Sus scrofa: one gene and its partner. The protein of the gene in region 2 binds, or shares a complex with, the protein of the main gene of each other region. Links are inferred from orthologs where the notes say so. Each region holds a gene or a part of one and is shown on either strand. Other genes may lie near its edges.

Region 1 (7,516 bases), on a different chromosome or scaffold from region 2:
AGTTGTTCTTAAATAGAAACACAGTTAGTTCGTTTATACTTAAAGGAGAGAAAGCAGAATATGTGCAGTCAGGATGGTGAGTGTGGCATGGCAGCTGCTCTGTTCTGAGCTGCCACTATGACAGTAATCCAAAATATCATCAGAGAGCAAGCCCTACTAATCCCCTCCTCCTTGCCAAAGTCCAGTTTGAAGTCCTAAGAAAGAACTCTGCTCATAGGATCAATTCAATTCAGGAGGCCCTAGACAGAGCATTGCAAAATGGCTACAAAATCCTCTCATCTTTGATTGCGTTCCCTTTGCAATATGACTTGCTGCCTCTTCCATCAAGAGGTAAGGTGTATTTCTCCATCTTGTGAGTCTCCAGGATACCACTGCCTCTCTTTCCATGAAATCCAAGAAAAGACTGTACCTATGGTAGATATTCACCCCATAATGAAGACTGTAAATAAGAAACTCCTGGAATAATCTTGGCCAAATCAGTTGACCTTTGGTCTCCTCTTCAATTTCTACAGTAATAATGAGGAAACATGAGAAGGAAGACTAAATTAATGATGGTTATATTTAACTAAGGAATAGCATTAATCTATTATGAGGTGGATAGTAATGTGTATGTAACCAACCCCTCTAATAACTCCAAATCTTTTTCTTCTTTGGATATTGCTATATTGCCTCTATTGACTTTGCTCTAGAATGCTTTCCTTTGTGCTAAGATAATAAAGGCTTTGATTAGAGTGTAAATACCTTCCAAAAGGGGGCAATAAATGGCATTATTTGTAGAAATTAACACCGTGAAATGACTTATCAAATTAGCCAGTCACCAAGCAGAGACTTGAAAGAATGGGACGCAGGGGGAAGAGAGAAAAATATTTCCAACACAACAGACAACTGGGGAAGTGAACTTGGAGAGGAAGAGCAGAGCAGACACTAGGAGGTAAAGAATGAGTAGGGCTCTAGGGAAGGCAATGGCATGAGAGAGGGGTGGAAAGGTGGCTTCAAAGAGGAATGAGAGGACCAGTGCCCATCTGGCAATCCTGCATAGCATCACATGTGTCCATAAGAGGAGCTAGAACAAGCTCTGGGAGATTGAAATCAAGAGGCAAAAGTCCTCTAGAAAGTCCTTTCCCCTCCCCTGTACTCGTTTTCTCATCTCTAAATTGGAAATAATCTACCTTTCCTGAATACCACCATAGGATTGATATGGGGGCCAAAAGAAGTAATAGGCTGAAAATTGCTTTGTAAACTGTAAAGCACCAGGGAAGCATAGGATTACTATTATTACCATATACTTATTGAAGGAAATGAGAGAATTTTGTTCAATTCATGCAGAAAATAGAAGAATGGTCTCTAGACCAAAAAAAAAAAAAAAAAAAAAAAAGAGTTCCCATTGTGGTGCAGTGGAAACAAATCCGACTAGGAACCACGAGGTTTCCGGTCCAATCCCTGGCCTCACTCAGCGGGTTGCCGTGAGCTGTGGTGTGGGTTGCAGACATGGCTCGGATCTGGAGTTGCTGTGGCTGTGGCGTAGGCCAACAACTACAGATCCGATTGGACCCCTAGCCTGGGAACCTCCATATGCCGTGGGTGTGGCCCTAAAAAGACAAAAAGCCAAAAAAAAAAAAAAAAAAAGGACAAGATTCCATTCCATTCATATTTGCATCATGTGACAAATCAACTTGGAGAGGGAGAGGGCATCTAAGCAAAGTGCTTTCCAACACTGGAATTACATGCAAATAAAATGAAACTGCATTCGTGAAGCAAGGCCCTCTCTCTTACATTTAATGGTAAGGCTTCCTGAATCATCCCTCTTTCCCTTCTGTGGCTTCTGAATTTGGTGAGCCAATGTTGAAAAGCTGAGGATGGACAAGGATAGGTGTAATATATACACTTCTTCCAAAGGTTTTTTGCAGGGAGACTGAGGATCAGGGAGGAAGACTGGGCACTCTGCCAATTTTAGCAGTATTCTGTAAATATTTCCCTAACATTCCAATTGTGTAGTTAAGAGATGTTAGATATCATCTGCCCCAACTGCCAAACTTACGTATCTCCAAAAAACGTGTATATGAGGAACCAGCTATTCTAAGGTTATTACATCGCAAGCTAGTGGCAGAGCTAAGACTCCAATCTAGGCTTTGTAAATTCTCAAAAGGTGTTTAGACTATAGTATGTTCTCCCCCTCTACTAGAATTCAGGCAAGGATGCTAAAAACTTAGATTAGAATTTGGGAAGAAAGACCCTGTAGAATCTCACACCAACCCTCTCTACATCATCTCCCATTGCTTTACCCACATTCTTTCTCATGCAGCTAAACTCACTGCTCCTAAGCCTCAGGTCCCTAGTCTTAGCCTCCCCTGGGGAAATCTCAGCCTTAAGTCCTCAAGACAGGTGAGGTCATTGGCAACCTATTATGTCTGCTTTATCTTCAGGTCTGGTCTACTCTACTGGGGATGGATGGCGGTGAGTCTGCCTTTGGGACTGGCATTACTCTCCCCCTTTGTCCTTCCCAGCCTGTCTCATCGGCATTTTGTTCAACAGGAAGCTTGGCTCTGCTTCTGGTCACATGCAAAATCCAGATAATGCTGGCAACCATAGTTAGTCCTGGAGGCTTAATAAAGTGATACTAAGGTAAAGAGGCGATTCAAATCTGATCAGCATATCTGCCACTGCACTGGCATACTAAGTTCCATGCCAACCATAGAACACATCCCCAGTTTTAATAAGGCAGGTATGCACACTCACATCTAATTATCCTGGTTTTTTATTTTTAGCATAGAGGAAGGTAGCTAAGATTATGTAAAGCAATATATCAAATATATTTGACCTGAGGATCTAATCAAAGTCACCAAGACTGAGATGCCCAGAACTACACAAATACACACCACACACACACACACACACACACACACACACACACACACACACAGTACTACATCCTCATCAATCCATTTCGATGCCTATACTAACATGCTCAGACATACACTAGCACACACATTCAAACACTGAGGGATACACAGTAAAGCATTTTCTCAATCGCATATTCAGACATACATGTAGACTCATTAACTCCCACTACACACATGCAGGCACCCCACTCCAAGCCCATCTCTAATACCACTCTGCTCAGCCTTACTGTTACAAGTATAGGACTCCCTTATTTGGAGAGAGAAGGTCACCTCACCCCTTCACGGCAGACAAACAAAAACCTATTTATTGCTGAAGGCAAAAAAAAAAAAAAAAAAAAAAAAACCAGCTCCCCAAACACCAAAGCACCTTAGCTCCACATGTTTAGGAAAAAGAAGATACAATTCTCAGGTGCCTATATATCTAATATGTAGCTGCAAATGGCTGAAACCTGTTTCCCTTATTAAAATTAAACAGGTAGATCAACAACTATTTCCACTCTCAAAATACATGCCTCTGGTTTTTTAATACATAAAAATTAATTTGAAGCTCCAATGACTCCACATTAAGAAACGAAATTAATTGCAACCAAGATTTTTTTATAATGAACGTGATTGCATTCTCTTTCAGCAAAGAGAAAGGGAAAGAATACTTTGGAATTAACAGGAACAGGAGGAAGGGTGGAAAAACCACCAAGGGAGGTTTAGGAATAAAGCAGCAGGGCACTGGGGAGGCCTTTTTCCCATCTCAAAATCCCAGCTCTCATGGAACCCCTCTGGATCCCATGTCTGGCAGACATGCACAGAGGGAAGCCAACCAGGCTCCTTTTTTTGTCACCAACGACATCAGTGTTATTCTTGTTAGCATTATTACTGTTACCTGCATGTCGCATGGCAGGGTGCCAGTACTTACCCCACAAGATGAGCACGAGGGAAGCCAGGGGAAACAAGCTGTTGAAGGCAGGCATCTTCTTCGGCAGGTGGCTTCCTGGGCTAAACAGAGAGATTCCCTGGGTCAACAACTGCTCCCTCTCGGATACTTTCGAGGAAACCCTCTGGGACGAACTGCCCCAAGGGGGCGACTTTCTGACTGAAATAATGGCCAAGTGCCGGTGACCGGGGAAGCTCTGCGGGCTTCTTGAGCCGGGCGGGGGTTTCAGCTCCAAGCCACCCTACAGACCGCCCTCATTCGAGGGAGCCGATCAGCAGCTTGGCGCGCCTCTCTCCCTGGAGCCCGTTGCTGGGATCCGGCTCAGCACCACGGACAGTACCTTCCCCGCCCACCCCGGAACTTCCAATTCAGTTGCTCCGCTGCTTCTCTTGTTTGCGCCTCGGGGAAAGCTCAGCTCCGAAGTGAGCAGCAGGCCGGCTCTAGGAGGCTGGGCTGTCGAAGGGGTCCATGTTGATCCACCTCTCACCTCCCTACGAATAGCTACGCTCCGACCTTGGATCCACCCAGACCCGGGAGCTCCAGCTTCCTCCGCCCTAGCCGGCTTCTCCAGCTGGGCGTGCCCTCACACCCGAAGCCTCCGGGGCCGCCGTCTGAGCTATAAAATTCGTTCCCGTCCACACCCGCTGAGGCTTCCCGGGGAGGTCCGGAGGGGCCGGGAAGGAGGAGGAAGCTCCTGTTTGGCTGGCGATTTCAGAGGTGGGGCGGTGGGGTGGGGGTGGGCCCCTTTCCCGGAGCTCCCGGGAATCGAGCCGGGGCCCCGACCCTGTGTGGCTAGTGACCAGCTGCCCTTCCTCCAGGCCCCCTTGACCGTGTATGCTCTGTCAGCCTTGACATGCGCAGGCGGTTCTCCACCCCCACAGCCACCACAGACCCACCCCCTCGTGCAACACTCCCCACCCCCAAACAGGCGTGCCCCTCCCAGGGCCGATTCCGGCTGCCGAGCTGGGGGCGGAGCTCTGAGCGGCGCAAACACCTCAGCCCCCGAGATTTCTCTGCTTGCGGGCTGTCTCCAGGTCTCCCTGTCACATCTCACACCTCTCCTCTCAACACGGGCACGCCTCCTCCCACCAATTCACCACTCCTGCTCCTCTACAGACATGCTCGCCTCCAGCTCCGGGAAGAGGAGGGCCGAATCTCTTTCAGGCAATGATGTCATCTGCAATGTACACTGTACATGGCTCCCAGATTCTCTCCCCCGACCCCATCCCCTCCTGTTCTCCGGGTATATCCTTTGTCTAGCCTTGATTAATTGGTTCTGGGCGCACTGAACGCAGAAAAATAATATCTGCTTAGAAGTGGGGTAGGAGTGCGGCACACCTGTTTCCACGTTCACCTCCTCACCCGGTGAGGTGAATTAAATATCAGTGCAACACTTGGAGGTGGGAAACTCCCTCTTGAGCTAATCACTTTTTTTTTAAAGTTTAAAAACATGCTGTGGTTTGGTTTCTTCCAACCATTAGCCTCACCCTAGTGCCTAGCAGCTGTTTCAATGCCCCACCCCATCTCTGGCAGGGAAACCTGACCCTTTAAATTTAGTTATTAACTCAAATTGACATAATAGATTAGGAATGCCTGGAACTGAAGTGAAAGATTAATACAAGAACTTCTCCCTTCTCATTCCCTACTGCTCCCTTTCCAAAAGGGGAAGTTTGACACTGATATACCAAAAAAGAACAGCAGAGAACAGCTGACTGTAAGTGAACCATCCTCAGGAAATTCTCTCTCCTAATATGTCACAGAGCAACTGAATGTCCTTCTTCCTGGGCAGGGAGCCACCAGGCCATAAACTCTATGTTTCTTTGAAGACCGAAGAATCACAGTGTGTTAGACTTGGGTGAGAAGTTAAAAGTCGACTTAATTCAACTTCCTTTGCAATTCTTGAATCCTCCAAGGACATTCCTGATACACATGCTCGGCCTTTGTCAGTGATGAGAGCTTACTACCTCAGGAGTCAGTCCCTTCTAATGTTTAAAAACGTTCTTTATATTCCATCAAATTCTGTACACTCCTCCTTCCTCCGCAAACTCCATTAAGTTGTCCGCAAACTGTTTTCCTTAAAACAGCTATGCTTGGGAGTTCTCATCATGGCTCAGCAGAAACGAATCTGACTAGTATCCAGGAGGATGAGGGTTCGATCCCTGGCCTTGCTCAGTGGATTAAGGATACGGCGTTGCCATGAGCTGTGGTGTACAGGTTGCAGACATGGCTCGGATCTGGCGTTGCTGTGGCTGCGGTGTAGGCCAGTGGCTGCAGCTCCAATTCGACCTAGCCTGGGAAACCTCCATGTGCCATGGGAGCAGCCCTAAAAAGACAAAAAAGAGAGAGAGAGAGAACACTATGCTTTCCCCACACCCCACTCCAGACTTTTTGGGGGAGCTAAGCTTCATAAGTTTCTTCCAGCATATTTCTTAGTTGTTTCCAACCCTCAACTCCCTGGCACTTTCTCGGAAGGATTTTTAGTTTGTCTGCATGGTTCTCCAAGTGACATCCAGAACAGGAGCTAATGCTTCCTGTGGAGGACTGACCAGCATAAATCCAGAGGAATCATGGCCACACTTGCCTATGTCTCTTCAGCCACATTTGCCATAGCTCACTTATAATGAGCTACGGTCAATTAAAATCCTTAAGTATTTTTCACTCAACCTGTTGCTAAGTCATCCTGTACTTATACAGGGAATCTTGGGAGAAAACCTCTGTAATTACTGCTGTTAAAATGTATTAGTTTTAACCAATTATCACCTGCTAGTAACACTTGTATTGAATGTAGATTTAATCATCTGACATCTCTAGTTTTGTTTTATTTCTGGCTTGATGATCACTTGACCCAAATATAGATATATATTTTTTAATGGACAGAAAAAACAAAGACGAGTTCTTTAGCATGGTTTTAGAGACCTCACTCTAGTTTGACTAATTAGACAAATAAATACCCAAGCAAATCTCCCTACTTTTTCCTCCCTCACACATTCTGAAAATTGAAAACAAGGGGTATATATGAGACGAATTAGACTTATAATGATCCAGAGGAGAGGTAGGATCTAAGGTTTATATTTATACAGAAACAGATTTTCATCAATATATTTCAAGTTATTCCAAACTAGAATGAATTACCATTTATTCTGTTCAAGTAGTTGTTATCCAAAGAATTAATGGGCTGTTGTAGAAAAAAAAAATTCTGTAGGTTAGAAAGTAGGAATAGATTATTGATAAAGTTCCAATCATCTTTGAGATTCTATGATTTTATTGAAAGCCTCACCCAAATACAAAGAATGATATATTTTCAGTCTGGTAATTCTATCAACCACTACACTACTGCAGCAGGAACTAGCTTAATCTTACATGTTTTTCTTATGCCTATTTGTGCCGATTGTCTTTCATCACAGTGTTCTTCTCTAAATGTTTACAAACCCCATTTTATACAGTCACTTTGAGAACCTTACATGAGATTTTAAGAACAATGTACTTGCTTCTAGTTTGCGTAAACCGCTTCCCCTGTCTCTCCTCTATTGAAAACAGGAGCATTTGGTCTTTTCAGTCTTCTGACATTTCCTTTGATTTTTGGCAGTAACGTTCAGTCACTTTCACAAGTACCTTAAGTTCCCTAAAGTACATCTGGCTTTGTTCTGAGAGGTTTTAACTCATTTGAATTAAGTTACTCTTTCCTCTT
Region 2 (6,938 bases):
TTCATGAGTTGTGAATGCTGAGTTCATGCATGATAAATACTTAGCACAAGGCTGGACATAACAGTCTGCTCATAAATGGGAGCTATTTCTAATATCTTTAAAACTACTTTAAAGTGAATTATATTTATTAAAGAATAAAGAAAAATTTTAAAGAAGCAGGTATTGATAAATAGTACCATACCAATAAATTTAATTTCAGCATTATTTTCCACAAAGCAAATTCTAATAATATGAAGATACATCTAGTAAACTTAGGATTTAATTGAGGAGTGCTTTCTACATTTTGTCAGTGCGTTAAGAGTCTCTGGTAAGCTTCCTAAGATTTATTTATTTTACAAAATTAAGTTAATCCAAAGGAAGCACAAGCATTTTCAGTTTTAAATTTTGAGCCTAAATGAAAAAACTTTAATGTAAGGCTCATTTTAAAATGTTCTTCTTAGGGAGTTTCTGTTGTGGTTTAGCAGACACGAACCCTACTAGTATCCATGAGGACGCAGGTTCCATTCCTGGCCTGGCTCAGTGGGCTAAGGATCTGGTGTTGACTGTGAACTGTGGTATAAGTCACAGATGCAGCTCGGATCCTGCATTGCTGTGGCCATAAGCTGGTAGCTACAGCTCTGATTCGACTCCTAGCCTGGGAACTCCCATATACCACAGGTGTGGCCCTAAAAAGCAAAATAAAATAAAATAAAATATTCTTATTATACAAAGTTACAAACCTAATTTACCAAAGAAAAAGAACCAAAGTTTAGTGTGGTTAACAGGTTAGATTTATTATTTTCTTTAGTATCTAAAAAGTAGAATATATTGTAAGACTTTGTTAAAAATAATTCTTTACATAGTTTTTGGGAGGTTAATGGCAAATGATTTCAATTAAAAGATACAATTTTCAAACTAAAATCAGTTCATAATCTTTATGGAATTTACAGAAGCAAGTTAAGTTTAAATATTTGAAGCAGTTTCCACATCAAAGCATTTCCAAGAAATAGAAAACTGAGAAGCTTAGATAAAGCACTGGCTCTTACCATGCCCCTAAATTAGTACTGACTCCTCACTGGTCTCCAACACATGATGGAGAAGGGGAGGAGAGAAGGAAGGAACACTTATTGAAAGAAACAGAACCCTGAAATTACATTTGCTTGGGGGGGGGGTCCCCAAAGGCATCTTGGTCAGGTTAATACATTTCTGAGCAGCAGAAATAGATTATAATAGTTAAGGCTCAATCGGGATCATGCATTCATAATAAAATACAATTGCTGATATTTAAGTGATACTGAATGTCATACAACATATTTAAAACGTCATTTAAGTCAAGAGTATATATATTTTCTTTTTGAATCCTTTAGGACTTTGTAGGCACATTGAAATCAATCTTAATACAAATGGAAGAAATATCAGAATCTCAGACTACAGGGATGCAAGTGACTGCATTTTTATGCTTTCTTCATATTTGTGCCTATCCTTAAGAAACAATTTTACTAGTGAAAATTAATGTTTAGGACTTTAAAAATTTTCAAACATAAAACTTTTTACAGAGTTATTATGTACGTGATAAAAACAAACCAACAAAAAAAACTTGGAAAAATAAATCAGTGCAAACTAATTTGCATTCACTAACGTTATAAAACACCACAACCAATAAACTCACACTTTGATCTCCTATTTGAGTCCACATAGTTTTAGTGATCACTTTTTTCTCAAAGTTATAAAAAAAAATAAAGTACAGTGAAAAGTACTTTAAAGAGGCCACTGTTTCCCAATGAGAAATAAGAAAATTTAAAAAATGTAGACCATAACTATAGTTTCCTCTATGCTGATTATTGTAGGAATCCATTCTGTTAAAGAGCTGGACCTTAGCTGGAACTAGCCAAAGATAAGAAACCACAATGAAAAATGAAACAACCTTAATCCACAGTTATCAAAAAGAAAATAAAACAAAAGCAATCAGAAACAGAACTTAAGCTCTAATTAATCTTTTTCAAAAGTGGTTTGAATCACCCCAAGAGTCTGTGTGACTGATCTCCAAGGCACTTTCTAAGAACTGTATTTCTTCTTCCCCTGATTGCCATCTGTTTAGGCAAATTTATGATTTAATGGCTGGTAGCACTGTACAATTTTTTTTTTAAACACCACCCCACATTAAGAAAGTACTTGTTTATTTGGAACTTAAGTCCTATCAGTGGTGACTTGAATCTATCAAGTTAAAGCAGACATAAAATATATAAGAAAGTCCTTTTGCTACTAATTGCAGCCACTACCTCCCCCATCCTCCAGAAGAAGTGCATATCATGTAAGCCATACAGAGAAAACAAGCACTGGGTTATCAAATGACAATTTTAACCCAGTTTAACTCTCCAGTGATAGTAAGGGGTTGTCTTGGCTAGACTGAATATACAGAGGTAAAAGTGAACTGGGCATGGGATCTTGTGAGTACAAGATTATCTGCTATGGGTTGTAAACAATTGATTATTAAGTAAAATATTTTCTTTCTCTGATCTTTGCTTTTATTTCTGATTTAAATTTTTAACATTTGCAGGATATGCAAAGAAGGTGAAAAGATAGTGTGGGATTAGATTTGACTTTGAATTGTTGCCTTTCCCTCAGCCTTTTCAAAATCAGAATCTTCTTTGATAATCTGGACTTCCTTGTCATTGTCTATCACATGACTGTCTGGTGTGTTTCTGTCATTTTGCCTCAAACGGTAACTTTTATAAGCACGTTGAATGATAGTTGCTGAGACTGCCTCTTGTTTTCGTTTCAGAGTAGTTGTAATTGGCTCATATGTGATCTTAAAAGGGTTGGCTAACATAAACCCTGATTCTATCTCTGAAAGAACTTTCTCCATCTTCACATCTTTATCCATAACTCGCTTTGTTAAAGCAAGTAAGACATCAAGGCAATGAATTCTGTCCCCAACAGCCATGGGAAGATCCATGGCAACGAGTTGGCCCTTGTTTGGTTTTGCCATGAAAAGAGGAGGATCAAGAGCAGCTGCAAAATCGGAAAGCTTGCTAGAGTCTATATACTGGGTTCTATCAGGATCATACCTCTTCCATACCTGAAAGAATTTCCTAAAATCATCTTCACTCAATGTCTTGGCTTTTTTTTTAGAAGCAATATTTAAAAACTCCATGACAGCAACAATGTACATGTTTATAATGATCAGCCATGATATGAGGATATAACTGACAAAATAAATAATCCCAACTGTGGGGTTACCACAGTCTCCTCTAACCTGAGTCCCAGGATTAATTTTATCAGGATCACAGTCAGACCATTTGCTGTTGAAAATTGCATCAAGCATTTGATCCCAACCAGAAAATACTGTAACTTGGAAAAGACAGAGCATACTGCTGCCAAAGGTTTCAAAGTTGGACACATCATTAATTCCACCTCCCTTTTTAACATAGGCAAAACTGTACATTCCGAAGATGGCGTAGACAAACATGACCAGGAAGATGAGAAGACTGATGTTCAACAATGCGGGGAGTGACAGCATCAAAGGAAGCAGCAGATCATGGAACATCTTTGGTCCTTTCTCAGGACGCAGGATGTGGATGATCCGTGAGAGAAGTATCAGTTGCACAAGGGAAGGAGGTACAAGGTAATATCCTACCGTCAGAGGCAGAAATAGTCCTGGATAGAGGGAAAGCAGGCCATATAATTATTTAGAGGAATATAAATTATTTCACATTTCATTGGTTTTGTCCTATATGCTAAAGTAATCTTATTAATCCTTCCAATATAACATTTAGCACATATGAAAGTTTGGGATAGCCAAATACTAACTGTGGCAATGCTCAGAGTATCTAGCAAAATTTGGAAGGGAATTATTTCTACCATCATTTTAAGAGTATTATCAGTCAAGCACTTCAGGAATCACAGATAGAATGAATCCATAATATAGAACAGTAGTCATATTTTTCTGATTGCAGTTAGATCAAGAAATTTATTTCAACCCAAGCTTTATTGGATACTTAATGAAAGTGTCATGAAAATATGCTAAGATGAATAACATGACTCCTGTCTGCAGAGACCATATAATATAAAGAGTAGAAGTATACATATAAGCTAATTATAATGCAAGACAGACACTGTATGCAGATGACATGATACTATACACAGAAAACCCTAAGGACTTAACCCCAAAACTACTTGAACTGATTAATAAATTCAGCAAAGTAGCAGGATATAAGATTAACATTCAGAAGTCAGTTGCATTTCTGTATACCAGCAATGAAATATTAGAAAAGGAATACAAAAATACGATACCTTTTAAAATTGTACCTCACAAAATCAAATACCTCGGAATACACCTGACCAAGGAGGTAAAGGACCTATATGCCGAGAACTATAAAACCTTAATCAAAGAAATCAAAGAAGATGTAAAGAAATGGAAAGATATTCCATGTTCCTGGATTGGGAAAATCAATATTGTAAAAATGGCCATACTACCCAAAGCAATCTACAGATTCAATGCAATCCCTATCAAATTACCCATGGCATTGTTCACAGAACTAGAACAAACAATCCAAACATTTATATGGAACAACAAAAGACCTAGAATCGCCAAAGCAATCCTGAGAAACAAAAACCAAGCAGGAGGCATAACTCTCCCAGACTTCAAGAAATACTACAAAGCCACAGTCATCAAAACAGTGTGGTACTGGTATCAAAACAGACAGACAGACCAATGGAACAGAATAGAGAATCCGGAAATAAACCCTGACACCTATGGTCAATTAATCTTTGACAAGGGAGGCAAGAACATAAAACGGGAAAAAGAAAGTCTATTCAGCAAGCATTGCTGGGAAACCTGGACAGCAACATGCAGAGCAATGAAACTAGAACACACCCTCACACCATGCACAAAAATAAACTCCAAATGGCTGAAAGACTTAAATATACGACAGGACACCATCAAACTCCTAGAAGAAAACATAGGCAAAACACTCTCTGACATCAACATCATGAATATTTTCTCAGGTCAGTCTCCCAAAGCAACAGAAATTAGAGCAAAAATAAACCCATGGGACCTCATCAAACTGAAAAGCTTTTGCACAGCAAAGGAAACCCAAAAGAAAACAAAAAGACAACTTTCAGAATGGGAGAAAACAGTTTCAAATGATGCAACTGACAAGGGCTTAATCTCTAGAATATATAAACAACTTATACAACCCAACAGCAAAAAAGCCAATCAATCAATGGAAAAATGGGCAAAAGACCTGAATAGACATTTCTCCAAAGAAGATATACAGATGGCCAACAAACACATGAAAAAATGCTCCACATCGCGGATTATAAGAGAAATGCAAATCAAAACTACCATGAGATACCACCTCACACCAGTCAGAATGGCCATCATTAATAAATTCACAAATAACAAGTGCTGGAGGGGCTGTGGAGAAAAGGGAACCCTCCTGCACTGTTGGTGGGAATGTAAACTGGTACAGCCACTATGGAGAACAGTTTGGACATACCTTAGAAATCTATACATAGAACTTCCATATGACCCCGCAATCCCACTCCTGGGCATCTATCCGGACAAAACTCTACTTAAAAGAGATGCATGCACCCGCATGTTCATTGCAGCCCTATTCACAATAGCCAGGACATGGAAACAACCCAAATGTCCATCGACAGATGATTGGATTCGGAAGAGCTGGTATATATACACAACGGAATACTACTCAGCCATAAAAAAGAATGCCATAATGCCATTTGCAGCAACATGGATGGAACTAGAGAATCTCATCCTGAGTGAAATGAGCCAGAAAGACAAAGACAAATACCATATGATATCACTTATAACTGGAATCTAATATCCAGCACAAATGAACATCTCCTCAGAAAAGAAAATCATGGACTTGGAGAAGAGACTTGTGGCTGCCTGATGGGAGGGGGAGGGAGTGGGAGGGATCGGGAGCTTGGGCTTATCAGACACAACTTAGAATAGATTTACAAGGAGATCCCTGCTGAATAGCATTGAGAACTTTGTCTAGATACTCATGTTGCAACAGAAGAAAGGGTGGGGGAAAAATGTAATTGTAATGTATACATATAAGGATAACCTGACCCCCTTGCTGTACAGTGGGAAAATAAAAAAAAATATAAAAAAAATAATGCAAGACAGACTTGTTGATAAATGTAATTACAAAAATATTTGGCATTCAGTGATTCACAGGTTGTAATTTAACTTATTTAGTCCACAAATAGTTTCTGGGCCCTTAGGAGCTTTAAATATGAATTGAATAAGTTAGTCTTTGCCTAGAACTTTTCTTTTTGGCAGTGTAGAATGGGGGGAACTATGGGAATGAGATAACGAACACAAGGTGAAATTGTAGTTAATAAAAAAAAAATAAGGGATGCTCTCTGGAAGTGCTGAAGATTGTGTGTCACATTTTGAGTTGAGAAGGTGGAGGAGGGGAAAATCCCATGAAGCTTCTAAATGAGATGGTAAGTTTGTTGAATCTGAAAGGTTCATGTCTCACATTTCTGTTAATTCAGTCACTGTCAATTGTCAATGATGGCATTCTCTCTGATGTTCTATCTTATGGATATCCTCATTTCCACAGTGCTTTAGCAAACCTTATGCTCTGACTCAAATTTTCTTTTCTCCTCAATCTTCCAAAGTCTTCCATCATGAAGGAGGTTTCCCCATTTAATTGTAAACATGTTTTAACTTCCTCACCTCTAAATTTTCTTCATAGCCTTTCTTACCTAAAATCTGACTCTATCTTGAGGATACTATTTCCCTAGCAAATACTCTTTAAGCACAGACAGCTCATTTTTTCCCATTCCATAGTTCTCAAGATAGAAAGATAAAGCAAGCATTTTTCTTTCCTTCCAATGTGATTTCCAGATAATTTTATAAAGAAAAAAGAAAGAAATCTTTGACAGTTTGTAGATCATGCCATTCAACTATACCATCTCCTATC

The links. The genes of interacting proteins can lie anywhere in the genome.
Region 1: the proteins of SCN7A (region 2) and SCN3B are in contact, whole or in part, in a cryo-EM structure (PDB 7TJ9), measured with the Homo sapiens proteins. The link is inferred for Sus scrofa from reciprocal best matches to the Homo sapiens genes SCN7A and SCN3B. Residues at the interface, in NP_002967.2 of Homo sapiens: Arg269, Glu293, Tyr296, Leu298, Glu299, Leu305, Gln315, Cys316, Pro317, Glu318, Gly319, Tyr320, Asn922, Ile923, Thr926, Cys927, Lys929, Ile930, Phe939, Ile956, Tyr957, Asp959, Gln960, Ile966, Tyr970, Met973, Ile974, Tyr977, Ile978, Leu981; in NP_001035241.1 of Homo sapiens: Val25, Cys26, Val27, Glu28, Val29, Arg44, Ile46, Lys50, Arg51, Glu52, Glu53, Val54, Asn95, Gly96, Ser97, Asp99, Gln101, Asp102, Phe126, Phe128, Ala130, His131, Pro133, Val135, Thr154, Ser155, Ser158, Glu159, Met162, Leu165.

The regions. Positions count from the first base shown.
Region 1 is NC_010451.4:50,527,335-50,534,850, forward strand, and holds the start of SCN3B (sodium channel subunit beta-3), read right to left. Parts: upstream 5,099-7,516; 5' UTR 4,885-5,098; exon of another isoform or gene 4,747-4,884; intron 4,712-4,746; exon of another isoform or gene 3,891-4,711; 5' UTR 3,866-3,890; coding exon 3,811-3,865; intron 1-3,810. UniProt on the Homo sapiens protein: Regulatory subunit of multiple voltage-gated sodium (Nav) channels directly mediating the depolarization of excitable membranes.
Region 2 is NC_010457.5:72,944,533-72,951,470, forward strand, and holds the end of SCN7A (sodium channel protein type 7 subunit alpha), read right to left. Parts: intron 3,637-6,938; coding exon 2,570-3,636; 3' UTR 1,615-2,569; downstream 1-1,614. UniProt on the Homo sapiens protein: Sodium leak channel functioning as an osmosensor regulating sodium ion levels in various tissues and organs. While most sodium channels are voltage-gated, SCN7A is not and lets sodium flow through membrane along its concentration gradient.